Linked DNA regions of Saccharomyces cerevisiae S288C. The protein of the gene in region 1 interacts with the protein of each later gene in a biochemical or structural test. Each region holds a gene or a part of one and is shown on either strand. Other genes may lie near its edges.

Evidence for each region. Proteins that work in one complex are often made in the same cells at the same time.
Region 2: of the proteins of CSR2 (region 1) and UBP2, one has a biochemical effect on the other in vitro, tested with the Saccharomyces cerevisiae proteins (one study listed by BioGRID).

Annotation. Positions count from the first base shown.
Region 1 is NC_001148.4:624,671-633,896, reverse strand, and holds CSR2 (Csr2p), read right to left. Parts: upstream 6,018-9,226; coding exon 2,652-6,017; downstream 1-2,651. Other genes in the region: NTO1 (Nto1p), read right to left, coding at 136-2,382; APL4 (AP-1 complex subunit gamma), read left to right, coding at 6,930-9,226. UniProt on the Saccharomyces cerevisiae protein: Transcription factor involved in the regulation of fermentation and aerobic oxidation. Acts as a repressor of CYC1, which is involved in electron flow through the mitochondria under aerobic condition.
Region 2 is NC_001147.6:554,324-560,230, reverse strand, and holds UBP2 (ubiquitin-specific protease UBP2), read left to right. Parts: upstream 1-1,588; coding exon 1,589-5,407; downstream 5,408-5,907. Other genes in the region: IAH1 (isoamyl acetate-hydrolyzing esterase), read left to right, coding at 1-270; putative monooxygenase CAT5, read left to right, coding at 500-1,201; Paf1-complex subunit LEO1, read left to right, coding at 5,661-5,907. UniProt on the Saccharomyces cerevisiae protein: Has an ATP-independent isopeptidase activity, cleaving at the C-terminus of the ubiquitin moiety in natural or engineered linear fusion proteins, irrespective of their size or the presence of an N-terminal extension to ubiquitin.

The DNA.
Region 1 (9,226 bases):
AGAATAAAGAAAAGACGACCTTTCTAAGTTATTTTTACTAAGTGTTCCATGAAAGTAAATAATAAGCCAAACTTTTACAAGAATAGCATAAAAATACATACTCATTATACATAATGCAATATTAAAACCTTTATTTTATCCGCTGTTAAGGATTAGCTTCAGCATACGGTGTTCCCCTGCACTCAGTTCTTCTGCATCGCTTAAACCTTCTTCTTCCATAATCACCGGGCCACTCCATGGTCTTTCTTCTATCTTGTCATCATTTATTATAAAATCTCTGGATAGCAACTTCTTAATATCTACATGTTCTATGAGCCCAATTAAATTTGTTACTTGCTCTTTTGCCTTTGATGAGACAGTTTGGAGTATTCTTGATGCACCGGGTAGAGTTTCCAAAACCTCAAAAAAATGCATAATTTCCTCCTTAAAAATTTGGACAGTATCAAAATCACAATGTTTACACTTTTCTAAAATAACCAATAATTTAGGTTCAGTAACCAATCTTTCAAGAGCCTTGAATTGTTCAGATTTTATAAAGATATCCAGTACATTGATTTTTAAAAGATATTTTTGGGGCGATTTAACTATATCAAAAACCTTCTTTCGGGATCTGGACAAGCTGTTTGAAGCTTGTGTTCTCTTTTTCACCAAAGTAGTCAGCTCTTTGAGCCGGTACAAGTCTTCGAGCTGATCATTGGCAAAATCTATTCTTGTTTGCACTTGTTCCTCGGTTAAGGACCCCAATGAATTATTTTCAAAACAGGCAGTTAATGGGGTACCTCCTGTAAGCTCCCTTTTCATTGACCAATATTTGCAAATATCAAATGCGCCTGCTGGTGGGTTAGCTAAGCCAAAAAAATCAACGACCTTTTGCAATATTTCAGCAAAAACATGTGGTGCTACCGGCGTTTGATTAGGTGTTTTCCAAATTGTTTTGTTGAATTTTGAATTTGTCCTATCATTAGCTTCATTATGCTGAGGAGTTTCGGTTTGTAATGTAGAGAGTAGAGAGAAGTATTTTCTAGCTTTATTAATACCTTCTATACTCGTTTGCCATCCTCTAGGTGCATGCTTGTGGCAGAAACTTTCGACTGAATACTTTTGGGAGAATTGATTAGAGGCCAATTCTTGAATAGTGCATTTCCCTTTACTCATGTAGAGACCAGCTCGACGGGCACACGTGACATGATATGCTGTAAAACAGTTTCTTTGAAAGCACTGAATGCAAGCACCCATCTTCTTTTTACAGATGTAGCAGTTAAGTTTCCATCGTGATACGCTAACATTTTGAACGCCTTCTATAGGTTCCATATAATGTAAGTTTGAAAAGTATAGCTCTGGAAGCCATAGAGCACAAATGTTATGTACCCAAGAACCGGTGTCTGTTTGTTTGAATGCACCTGTATGACTTGGACACATTAGACAAGTGGCAAAGTTATTTTTTGAGATCATACATCGTCTACATAACCATTTTCCTTCCGGGATAAAAATTATACCGTAACATTCTTGATGCACAGCAATATCGCATCCATCACAAAAGACAATTGTATTCAGATTGTCACTGTCTGTGCCTAAACAAACTGCACACGCCTGGTCCATCGATAAACCTGTTCCATCATCAGAACCATATAGCTCATAATTCTTACAGTCCCTTAGAATATTATGCCTAGCAATCAGACTATTCGTTGAGGGTATATGTTTTTCAATATGGAACCATTCAGTTTCTAGTGTAGTCATTAAAATTTCAAATATTTCGTGAGACATTTGATCTTTAAAATACCTCTTATTAAGGTAGTGCAAATATAATTCATCCTGTTCATCCATGTCATACTGAGGCTTGAAATTAACAAGATTGGGTGAAATACTAGCGAATTTCTGAATTGCACTCTTTGTACTCGTCGAAATAGTAATATTCGGGGCTTCTTTACTAGAGAATTTGGTGAAGTAGGGTGCCTCCACACCATCGAATTCTTTTTGTTGTTGTTTATAACTCTTCCTATTTCTTACTTTGTTTATATGATAGTACCTGGATATAAAGCTCTCATTAAATCTAACGCAGTATGGATTTTTCTTACCTTTTAACTCATTCGTAGTTATTTTACATTTTTGAAATTCCACTTCGTTCTTCTTCAGTACTAGTGGTTCAGTGGTGACTCTCCCCTTGAAAATCAATTCTTTAGTTTGTACGCTTTTGACACTCCCGATCTCTCTGTTATTCCGATTTGAAATATCATCTGAGTCAGTATCGGTGCTGTTATCCTTTGTTTCCACTAAGGGAACGATGAACGGCAGTAAAGTATCGGCATTAAGATCAGGATAAAAATCTTGGAAGTGCTTTTCTTCACGTAGTTTAGGCCCATCATCTAATGATCCCCTATTCATTAGGTGCTAAGTCGTACAACGCCCTTGTCAAAGTTATTTGAATAAAAAAACCTAATACGTTGAAAAACTGCACGGCTTTCAAACTTTCAAACTTGTTTATTATTATCGTCTTCCATTTTTTTCGGTGCTACAATTTGCGATGAGCCGAAAGACATATATTCTACGTATATTACACGAAAAAAAAAGTTAGTTCGGACAGGTACATATTTGTACAAATGTATATATATATGTGTGTGTGAGGTTTATAAAAAAAGTGAAGATATTAATATTTATGATGAAATCTCGTCATATCTTGGTGGTTCAGGACCCGGATGAATTATTGGACCAGGCCCCTCTGTATCATTATCATTATTATCATTATCATTATAATTGTAGTCGGTATTGGTAAAAGTGCGCGGACTATACCGTGGTGTGAATATATTATTGTTAAAGTTCATTGTGACAATGTCTCTTTTAAATAGCGTGGCCGCGGTCTCCTGTTCAAAGATATCCTGCGAAAGCAAACCGTCCATATTGCTATAGGCGTTATTTTCATTCCCCATTTGTAGCGCATAATCTTCAGTCCTCAAGGGGCGTGCTTGTTGCTCTTGCTGGTCCCGGATTGGGGCACCGTTAGACGAGTCCGAAACAGCGGTTGTTTTTGGATGTAAGGTTGACAGGTAACCATTTGCGAGGGAAGTCGACCTAGACAAATTCAACTGTTGCATGGAAATGTCATCGGGATAATAAGATACAGAAGATCTTGGTGATGCTGAAACTGATGTTGCCTCTTCAAAAGTTGGTGGCAGGACTTTAGAAGATTCAGTGGTGGCCATGTCATAAGTCGGTAAGTCTATATTTGAAGTGTTACAAAGGTCAGAAATCAAATAAATTGGTGTATCAACAATTACTTCATAATGCCTTATGATTTTTGAGCTACCACTATCAGTTTTGCTAACCCTCAAGACGATTTCTAATTTATGAGAACATTGGATATTCTTAAAATGCATACTGTCCAAATATAAACCGCGTCTTGGTTTATTCAACCGTGTGTAGTGCTGAATGGGAACATTCGAGCTAGTTTGCAAAGATGTATTCGAGTTTCCATTTGTATCATTGACCTCATTATGATTCTTGTCTTGCGGTATTTTATGAACTGTCTTGGAAGCCCTGTTAGGGCGACCCACTAGAAAGCCCAATACATTGCCGTTATTAGAGGTGTTCTCACTCTGAGTTGGATCTTTTATTGGGTCGAAAAGATCGATACCATATGGTGGTAGACTTGCAGCTTTGGTAGCGTCCACTTCACAATATTTTGGAAATTTTAACTTCGTTTTAACAGTAAAGGACTCAGAAAATGGGATATCTTTGTTGTTTTCTTTTGATGAAGTGTAGGCTAATAAGTTATCATCAACTGTATTGGTGACAACTTCCTCTCTAATAGAAGGCCCACTAGTACATTTAGAGGCCACCTCAAATAGAGGCAAGCTTCTGTCCTTCTTTTTTCTCACTAAATATCTCATATGATAGGGATTGCAAGGATCTGAAGCCAATGGATCCAACTGGTCAAAATCATATTGATAGTCTTTACTCCTGTAGGAGATTTTTTCTCTACAACTAACACGAATTCTCTTGACACTAAGACTTTTTACTAGAGGTGCCACTTTAATTGTGATTGGAATTTCACCATTCAAGGGCACATACTTTTGGGCGAATGAAATTTCATAAGAAAGACAATTCTCCCAAACCTTGTTAATGTAAAGTGGCTTATTTGCTGTAGTGACAGAGATTTCTGGCGGAGTTCTCACCAAATTAAGCGGGTACTGTAAATTTATAGTGTCTTCAGAATCATGTTGCATCGCTAAACCACTAGAAGATGCGCCATTATTATCTGACCTTCCGTTAGAATTATTCCTTTTTAAGCGCCCCTTCGCACTTTTTAACCATGAGGAGGGAAATGCGATTTTTCCAGTAGAATTTTTGTCGTTATTGTAGGTTTCTCCTTCTATGGTGTCATCAATTTGAGAATATTCATAAGAATCAGAACAGGAATATGAACGCAGTTTTTGAGGAGAAGAGATAGAAGAAGAACGTGGCCGTGATGCAACCAACTGTGTATGTTCATCCTTCAATTTTGTCGCTAATCTTAAGCTGTAGGATACCCTCGCTGATGGGTAGTAAAGCGATTCAGGAATACGACTGGCAAGCACTATGGGGATAGTAAAGACATAAACACCAGCATTTAACTTGTTCGTAGAATTCGAGGCATTTAAATTGTTTAATATATTTTCCCTAAGAACTGCTTTATTCGAGAAAGAACGGCGTTTCCTCATCGATAATTTCTGGAGCACTTTCAATTTCCTGTTATTGGAATGATTTTCAACGATATCAAGAGGAGACTTTGCGCCTTGCGGAATGAAAAGATTAAAGTTGTCTGCATTTAAGGTCCAGTCCAAAGAACCTATATTATAGCATTCCTCGTTAACATTCTTGGTAGGGGGAAGACCATTGAACCACACCACTCTCACGTTAGAAGTGAGTTCTACTTTAATATCAGAAAGGGTAGTTGATTTATTCAGGGAAAATATCAATGCAAAGCTGAATGAAGGCATTTGGCTATTCCAAGCATTAGGAAGAGAACGCGAGTGAGAATTAGGATGTCTGTTTCTCGCGGGAGAATTGTTATTATTCATAGGGTTGTTATTGCCACTCGCAACAAAGGAATCCGCATCTGTTGTGTTATTGTTCGAGGCCGGAGAAGCACGATCAGAATTGCTTGTATCCATAGCATTACCTGTCCTTGCTGTATTAGAGGGGCTGGTTCGCTGTGTATGTAACGGAAATAGTGATAAATCATTGTTTTCATTCAAAGTGTCCATCGTAGGACATGAAGGGAGGAAATCACTTTCTGCAGTGTTAGTGGACCCGACAGGCTGTGTTCGCGCCTGATTTAAAGAACCATGAATCAGTGATAGATACTCTGTTTCATCACTTTTTGTAGTTGGCAAGAAAACTGATTCTGCACTTGTTGCAATGGAAATTTCCAGCACACTTTTCTTATTATATAACGGTGTTTGCTTGATGAAACCACGATCCGCTAAATAGTCCGATAGCACCCTATTAATAAACATAGTGCTATTACTAGCATGATGTGTTATGAATGACCTAACAATATCATTATTACTAGATATTTGTTTTGCCGCGACTGGATCTGACTCTCTCCTCAACCCGGTGTCTTGCCTTGTGTGTAACTGGTCTATGGTGGTATACGGAACAGAATTCCTGTGCCTATCCGGTTGGTAAGATCCCGTAATATTGTAAGCCTTAGTGCCAACATCTGAAGGAAAACTGTTCCCCCTACACATGGCAGTTGATGCGGTAGAATAGTTACGGTTCATCAAATTGGAATAATCGTCCATACTAGATGTTGGACTATTACCAGTTCCAAAAAAAGAAGAAAGGGCGTCCCTAACACTAGATGACCTCCTTCTACCACTAAATCCTGACGATTTTTGTGGCGAGAGGGAGGTAGAAATCATCTCTCTGTTACGGGCTAGCCTTTGCAATATATCACCCTCGTCGCCTGCAGAAACGTTCTGGACGACATCTCTCTTGTTGCCGTTGCTCGCAATTGCTATTGGGACAGTAGATTGCATGATTGACTTTGCTTACTAGTCTGACTGATTACCCTTGGAGAGCCATCATAATAAATAAAACAGAGAAACGACGATATATATAGTCCAAACCGTGACAACTATGCAGGGAACGGGAGACGGGATTCAATAAGCCGGGGGTCTTTTCCATGTGATACCGAGTAAGGCATAGCCATCATTTGGCAGATCTACAAAATAAAGAAGCCCAGGGTTTGGCCGTGCAGAATCGCTGCGCCAACCCCGGATTTTGCATTTCTTATTCCACTAGGGCTGGTCGTGGGGTACGTGGGGAGCGGTATCCCTTAAAATGAAAAAAAAGAAACTATACCACCCACGCATCCAAACGACCGGGCGAGCGGGTAATAGATGGTTCTATTCTTTAGCCGCCGAAGCTTTCTTCTCTATATACATGTAAATGTATATAATTCCGGAAGTGTGGTCCTGCTACGAACAACACAAACCGATTAATTGATAATGGAAAGAGGAATGAGGTTGGGACAAGTAATACCAACTGGGGCTACAGGAAGGTGGTGAAAGAGGGTATCACATATAAGAACAAACCGTTTATTCGATTATTTAAATCTATTTTAGGCCACGAAGGTAGAGAGGTTGCGAGTGAAAACAACTAACTTTCTTTACGATATTTCTCAATTGGAACTGACAGCGTTAAAGTCCATATTTTGCTACTGATTGCTTTTCTTTGGTGTTATCTACCTTAAGAGAAAAAAAATTCAAATGAAGATTACCCGACTCTGAGTTTTGACGTCCTTAGCTGTTTGTATTCACTGAATTTAGTGGGCTTGGCCATATGAGAATTACAACTAAATCATACTTTTTCGAGATTTTATACTGCTAATATTGGAGAAGAAATATTGACCATCTTGATTTAGCAACGAGAAAGACCTGAACACCATAATGGGCTCTTCGTTGAGAAGCTTTATCAAAGACGTTCGTGGTGCCAAAACACTGGCAGATGAAAGGGCAATTATAACGAAACAATCTGCTAAAATTAGGACAAAATTGAGAGATGACCATCTACCACATGAAAAAAGGCGAGTAAATATCCAGAAACTTCTGTATCTATACATTCTAGGGGAAAAGACACATTTCGGTCAGGTGGAGTCTATCAATTTAATTGCTTCTGACGATTTTGTCGATAAAAGATTAGGCTATCTGGCCGCAACTTTATTGTTGGACGAATCTGAAGATTTATTGACACTCTTAACGAACATGTTGAACAACGATTTGCATCATCCCAACAAATATGCAGTGTCACTTGCACTAACCTCATTAGGCTTTTTGAGCTCCCCTGAATTAGCCAGAGATTTATACCCAGACGTCGAAAATATCATCAAAAATTCAAGAGACCCTTTCCTCTTGAAAAAAGCGCTTCAATGTGCTGCCAAACTAATTTTCAAAGACGTTTCACTTTTAGAAATCTTCAACATCGAAGACATTACTAAGATATTGTCTAGTCATTCAATATGTACTCACGGTGTACTTTTAGGCGTTACGAAAATCATACAATCTATTTTGTTAATTGGATTGAACAGAAAAAAAGATGAGGATGAAGATGAAGACGGTATTGATTACAGCAATGACATCTTGTCTCCATTATCTTTACTTTTGCGTGATTTTTTCATTCGTTTGGAAAATATGAATTCTAAAAATATTGAACCTGGATATGATGTCCAAGGTATTTGTGACCCATTTCTGCAGTGTGAAATAATTTACACTTTAAAACTATACTTTCAAGTTGGTGAGCTCTTAAATTCGAACAATGTTTTGGACTACAAAGATAATTTCTGCGATTTATTGACTCGTATTGCGACGAATACGGATTCAACGAAAAACAGCGGACAGGCCATTCTTTATGAGACCGTGAAGACGATCTTTTCGTTGGATTTGAACCAGCCTCTACGTGTCCTTGGTATTAACATCTTGGCCAAGTTTCTTGCAGGAAAAGATAATAATACTAAATACGTTTCATTAAACACCTTATTAAAAGTTGTTCCCCAAGAGCCTACCGCAGTACAAAGGCATAGAAAATTCATTTCTCATTGTCTGCAGGATACCGATGTGTCGATCCGCATGAGAGCGTTAGAGTTGAGCTTCGCCATCTTGGACGATTCAAATTTAGTGGAATTGGTTAACGAATTGATGAAATTTTTGGCAAAACAGGATGAAGATTCAAAAGATCTCATAATATACACTATAGATCACTTAATTGACACTTTTGATACCCGCGTTGTCAAAGATGAAAGCTGGAAATTAGATGTTTTCTTTAATATCTTAAAATTAGTGGGATCGTTTATCAACTATGAAAAAATTAATGATATTCTAATCATAATAAATAATACGAGCCAGTTATCCGACAAATCTGAATTTTTACGGAAAATGCTGACAATTTCACTAAATGGAACATCAGCGGAGATTTCCGAGGAAAATATTGGTTGGCAGTTGGTTTTGATTTGGTGCATTGGCGAATATGGCGATTTAGTACTCAACGAGGGCAATAAAAATGGTGCAGACATAATCAATGAGTCATCTATTACTGATTACTTACTAACTTTGCAAGAACTCTACACAGCAACGAATCTGAAGATAATCAATTACATTTTAACAGCAGCATTAAAATTATCTGTGAGGTTCCATGACGCGAAAAATATTGAAAAACTAAGACAACTGATATTGAGCTACACGGATTCCACTGATTTATCACTGCAAATGAAAAGCAATCAATACGAGATATTTTTCAATCAGTCAATTTCTGTGAAGAAGATCATTTTAGAAACAATGCCTAAATTTGAAAAAATTACCGAGGAACAGGATAATGGAAAAGCTCTATCGAAAAACCTTATCTCCAACGAACCAGTTGATCTGCTGTCAGATTTATTGGGTGAGGATAGCAAGGCTGAAAGCAAGGCTTCTACTGGTGACAATGTGAAACCAATTGACATATTAGAAGAGATTTTTGGAGAGAAGAATGACATTGCTCAGGTGCCCAAAAATGCGAACAAGGAAGAATCAATCAATCATTCGTCGGCAGTGGAGGCAAACTCAGGTGTCACCTTACCATTGGATGCCAACAAGATATATGACAGTTCCTCACTGAATGTATATGCTTCCTTGCTCTCTGCAAACTCTGGATTAGCACATTTGGATTTATATTTTCAGGCAAAGTCTTTAATATCTGACTTAAAAACTTTCTG
Region 2 (5,907 bases), on another chromosome or scaffold:
ATTTATTCCGATGCCTTAGCAAAACTAGCCAATGAGGAAAAAGTTCCCTTCGTGGCTTTGAATAAGGCGTTTCAACAGGAAGGTGGTGATGCTTGGCAACAACTGCTAACAGATGGACTGCACTTTTCCGGAAAAGGGTACAAAATTTTTCATGACGAATTATTGAAGGTCATTGAGACATTCTACCCCCAATATCATCCCAAAAACATGCAGTACAAACTGAAAGATTGGAGAGATGTGCTAGATGATGGATCTAACATAATGTCTTGAATGCAGTAATCCTTTGTACGTACTCTGTCTATATTTCCCTAACTTTTAAGCAACTGTATAATTTTTCATATACGGGATTTTCAGGAAAAAAAACAATAGAAATCTATAAAACATGTTTCCTTATTTTTACAGACGAGAGTTTTATTCTTGTGAAAACGTCGTTATCTTCTCCTCCAAACCAATTCAAGGAATAAAGATATCACGTATACGGGAGAGATACATAGAAATTATGTTATCCCGTGTTTCAGTTTTCAAACCTGCCAGCAGAGGCTTTTCCGTCTTATCATCTTTAAAGATAACAGAACATACATCAGCAAAACACACCGAAAAACCTGAGCATGCTCCCAAGTGTCAGAATTTATCAGATGCTCAGGCTGCATTTTTGGACCGTGTTATTCGTGTAGATCAAGCTGGCGAATTAGGTGCAGACTACATCTACGCTGGCCAGTACTTCGTGTTGGCTCATAGGTACCCTCACTTGAAACCTGTGCTAAAGCACATATGGGACCAGGAGATACATCATCATAATACTTTTAACAATTTGCAATTGAAAAGGAGAGTCAGGCCTTCCTTATTAACGCCTTTGTGGAAGGCAGGAGCCTTTGCAATGGGGGCTGGTACCGCATTGATTTCTCCAGAAGCAGCTATGGCTTGTACTGAAGCTGTCGAGACAGTAATCGGAGGGCACTACAATGGCCAATTGCGAAACTTGGCCAATCAATTCAATTTAGAAAGAACAGATGGAACAAAGGGTCCAAGTGAGGAAATCAAATCCTTAACTTCTACTATCCAACAGTTCAGGGATGACGAGCTAGAGCATCTAGACACCGCTATCAAGCATGATTCGTATATGGCAGTTCCATATACAGTTATCACTGAAGGTATTAAAACGATTTGCAGAGTAGCTATATGGAGTGCCGAAAGAATTTAACCACCAGAAAGTGGCATACATCAGTCGCGTTATGCCAGAAAAGGAGAATTGAAAGGAAAACGGTTTGATAAATGTCCTAATTAAACTATCATGTATAAAATTATGTATCATCCTTACGCATTTTAACGCTATATGACCAATATGACAGGAATAGATACACTGTCTATAATTATGTAAATGGGGTATGGGTTCATAGTCTAAGGGTGAGTACAAACTGGATCTTTAACAAGAGTAACAGTTAATTAGAGCAAAACTATAGTACATATAGCTTGAAAAAAACAAGCGGCTTGCCATTGGAAGAACATTGCATAAAAACGGGGCCACTGCTAATAATAAAGTGGTAATTAAAAAGAAAGCTTTTGTTCAAGGTTAAGAAGGTATAAGGAAATGCCGAACGAAGATAATGAACTTCAAAAAGCAATTGAGAACCATCATAATCAACTACTAAACCAGGATAAAGAAAATGCTGACAGAAATGGGTCTGTTATAGAAGACCTCCCATTATACGGGACAAGTATAAACCAGCAGTCTACCCCTGGAGATGTTGACGATGGAAAACACTTACTGTATCCAGATATTGCCACCAACCTACCACTGAAGACTTCTGACAGACTTTTGGACGATATACTTTGCGATACTATTTTTCTCAATTCTACAGACCCGAAGGTCATGCAAAAGGGCCTGCAATCGAGGGGTATTTTAAAAGAGTCTATGCTTTCTTACTCAACTTTCAGAAGTAGTATTCGCCCTAACTGCTTGGGTTCATTAACTGATCAAGTGGTTTTTCAAACAAAATCCGAGTATGATTCCATTTCATGCCCAAAATATAATAAAATACATGTATTTCAGGCGGTCATCTTTAATCCATCACTGGCAGAACAGCAAATTTCAACTTTTGATGATATTGTTAAAATTCCTATTTATCATCTTAAGGTTAGCGTAAAAGTCCGCCAAGAACTGGAGCGGTTGAAGAAGCATGTCGGTGTTACTCAATTCCACTCACTAGATCATTTGCACGAATACGATCGAGTAGACCTTTCGACTTTTGATTCTTCCGATCCTAATTTGTTGGATTACGGTATTTACGTTTCTGATGATACTAACAAACTGATCTTGATTGAAATTTTTAAACCCGAGTTTAATTCACCTGAAGAGCATGAGAGTTTTACTGCCGACGCAATTAAGAAGAGATACAATGCTATGTGTGTAAAAAATGAATCACTAGATAAAAGCGAGACGCCATCTCAAGTTGACTGTTTTTACACACTTTTTAAAATTTTTAAAGGGCCTTTGACGAGGAAAAGTAAAGCGGAACCTACAAAGACAATTGATTCTGGAAATTTGGCCCTTAACACTCACCTGAATCCTGAATGGTTAACGTCCAAGTATGGATTTCAAGCAAGCTCAGAAATCGATGAGGAAACTAATGAGATATTTACTGAATACGTCCCTCCAGATATGGTGGACTATGTAAACGATTTGGAGACAAGAAAAATTCGAGAATCGTTTGTGAGGAAGTGTTTACAACTGATATTTTGGGGTCAACTATCTACCTCATTACTGGCACCTAATTCTCCCTTGAAAAATACGAAAAGCGTAAAGGGAATGTCTTCATTACAAACTTCTTTCTCAACACTACCTTGGTTCCATTTATTGGGAGAATCCAGAGCAAGGATTCTATTAAATTCCAATGAGCAAACTCATTCGCCTTTGGACGCAGAACCTCATTTTATTAATCTTTCCGTTTCGCATTATTATACCGATAGAGATATAATCAGAAACTACGAATCTTTGTCTTCTTTGGATCCTGAAAATATTGGGCTGTATTTTGACGCACTGACATACATTGCAAATAGGAAGGGGGCATATCAATTGATTGCTTACTGTGGAAAACAGGACATTATAGGCCAAGAAGCTCTAGAAAATGCTTTGTTAATGTTTAAAATTAACCCTAAAGAGTGTAACATCTCCGAATTAAATGAGGCGACTTTGCTATCTATTTACAAATATGAAACATCAAATAAGAGCCAAGTAACCTCTAATCACCTAACAAATTTGAAAAATGCTCTAAGATTGTTGGCCAAATATACCAAATCTGACAAACTAAAATTTTACGTCGATCATGAGCCCTACAGAGCTTTATCCCAGGCATACGACACACTTTCAATTGACGAGTCTGTTGATGAAGACATTATAAAAACTGCATATTCGGTCAAGATTAACGACTCTCCCGGATTAAAGTTGGATTGTGATAGAGCACTTTACACCATTGCTATCAGTAAAAGAAGCCTTGATTTGTTCAATTTTTTAACAGAGGAATGCCCACAGTTTTCCAACTATTATGGTCCAGAGAAGCTTGATTACCAAGAGGCATTGAAGCTTCTTCAAGTGAATGAAAATGCCTCTGACGAAACCATTTTGAAAATCTTTAAACAAAAGTGGTTTGATGAAAACGTTTATGAGCCTGACCAATTTCTTATTTTGAGGGCAGCATTGACCAAAATCAGTATAGAAAGAAATTCAACTTTAATCACCAACTTCTTACTAACTGGTACGATAGATCCAAATTCCTTGCCGCCAGAAAATTGGCCAACTGGCATTAATAATATCGGGAACACCTGTTACCTAAATTCTTTATTACAATATTACTTTTCCATTGCGCCACTAAGAAGATATGTATTGGAATATCAAAAAACGGTAGAAAATTTCAATGACCACCTCTCTAATAGTGGGCATATTAGAAGAATTGGTGGAAGAGAAATTAGTAGAGGCGAAGTGGAAAGATCTATTCAATTCATATACCAACTTCGCAACCTTTTCTATGCGATGGTTCATACAAGAGAAAGATGTGTAACACCCTCAAAAGAGCTAGCATATTTGGCATTTGCTCCAAGTAATGTTGAAGTAGAATTTGAAGTGGAAGGCAATAAAGTAGTTGATCAAACAGGAGTTCTTTCGGATTCAAAGAAGGAAACAACGGATGACGCATTTACTACAAAAATAAAGGATACAAGCCTGATTGATTTAGAAATGGAAGATGGCCTTAATGGCGATGTTGGTACAGATGCGAACAGAAAAAAAAATGAATCGAATGATGCTGAAGTAAGTGAGAACGAAGATACAACAGGATTAACTTCACCTACGCGTGTGGCAAAAATCAGTTCTGATCAATTAGAAAATGCTTTGGAAATGGGTAGGCAACAAGATGTTACTGAATGCATAGGAAACGTGTTATTTCAGATAGAAAGCGGTTCAGAGCCTATCCGATATGATGAAGACAACGAGCAATATGACTTGGTTAAGCAACTATTTTATGGTACTACTAAACAAAGTATTGTTCCTTTGTCCGCAACAAATAAAGTCCGTACGAAAGTTGAAAGATTCCTATCGTTACTGATAAATATTGGCGATCATCCTAAAGATATTTATGATGCGTTTGATTCTTATTTTAAAGACGAATATCTGACAATGGAAGAGTATGGTGATGTTATACGTACCGTTGCTGTTACAACTTTTCCTACTATTTTGCAGGTACAAATCCAAAGAGTTTATTACGATCGTGAAAGATTAATGCCGTTTAAATCCATTGAGCCCTTACCATTCAAAGAAGTTATTTACATGGACAGATACGCGGATACAGAGAACCCTTTATTGTTGGCAAAAAAGAAAGAAACAGAAGAAATGAAGCAAAAGTTGAAGGTAATGAAAAATAGACAAAGAGAGCTTTTGAGTCGTGATGATTCAGGGCTTACAAGGAAGGATGCATTTTTGGAGAGTATCAAGCTATTGGAATCGGATACCATAAAGAAAACTCCTTTAAAAATTGAGGCTGCTAATGATGTGATAAAGACGCTGAGAAACAACGTTCAAAATATCGATAATGAATTGATGAAATTATACAATGATATCAACAGTTTGGAAGAGAAAATAAGCCATCAATTTGACGATTTCAAGGAATATGGTTACTCACTGTTTTCGGTTTTTATTCATCGCGGCGAGGCCAGTTATGGTCACTATTGGATATATATCAAGGACAGAAATCGCAATGGAATTTGGAGGAAGTACAATGATGAAACCATCAGTGAGGTCCAGGAAGAGGAGGTCTTCAATTTCAATGAGGGTAACACTGCAACTCCATATTTCCTAGTATATGTCAAACAAGGACAAGAAGGTGATATTGAGCCATTGAAAAGAATTCTAAAGTAGTCTTAGTCAATGAAGAGTTTATGTAAAATGTCACTATTGCCATAAGTACCATTATTATGTAAAAAGCTTTGCCATATTCAATCGTTACGGGTGACTATCTGCTACGTAAAGAAAAACGAAAAAACAAAAAAAAAAAGAACAAGCTCATAGAAGTGAATACGAAAGCTGAAGAAAGTCGTTAAGTAGATAGGTTGCGTAAACTAGGTGCGTCCAATCAAAGTAATCCAATTAGATATACTGGACTATAATTAAGATGTCATCTGAAAGCCCACAGGATCAACCACAGAAGGAGCAAATCAGCAATAACGTCGGCGTTACCACCAATAGTACAAGCAATGAGGAAACAAGCCGCTCTCAAGATGATAATGTCAAGGAAGTCAATGGAAATGATGATACTAAAGAAGAGGAACAAGAAGAAGACGCAGAACTAGATGATTTATTTGGAGATGACAATGATGACGATGATGATGATGATGTTAAAAAATCGGAGACTGAAAAAA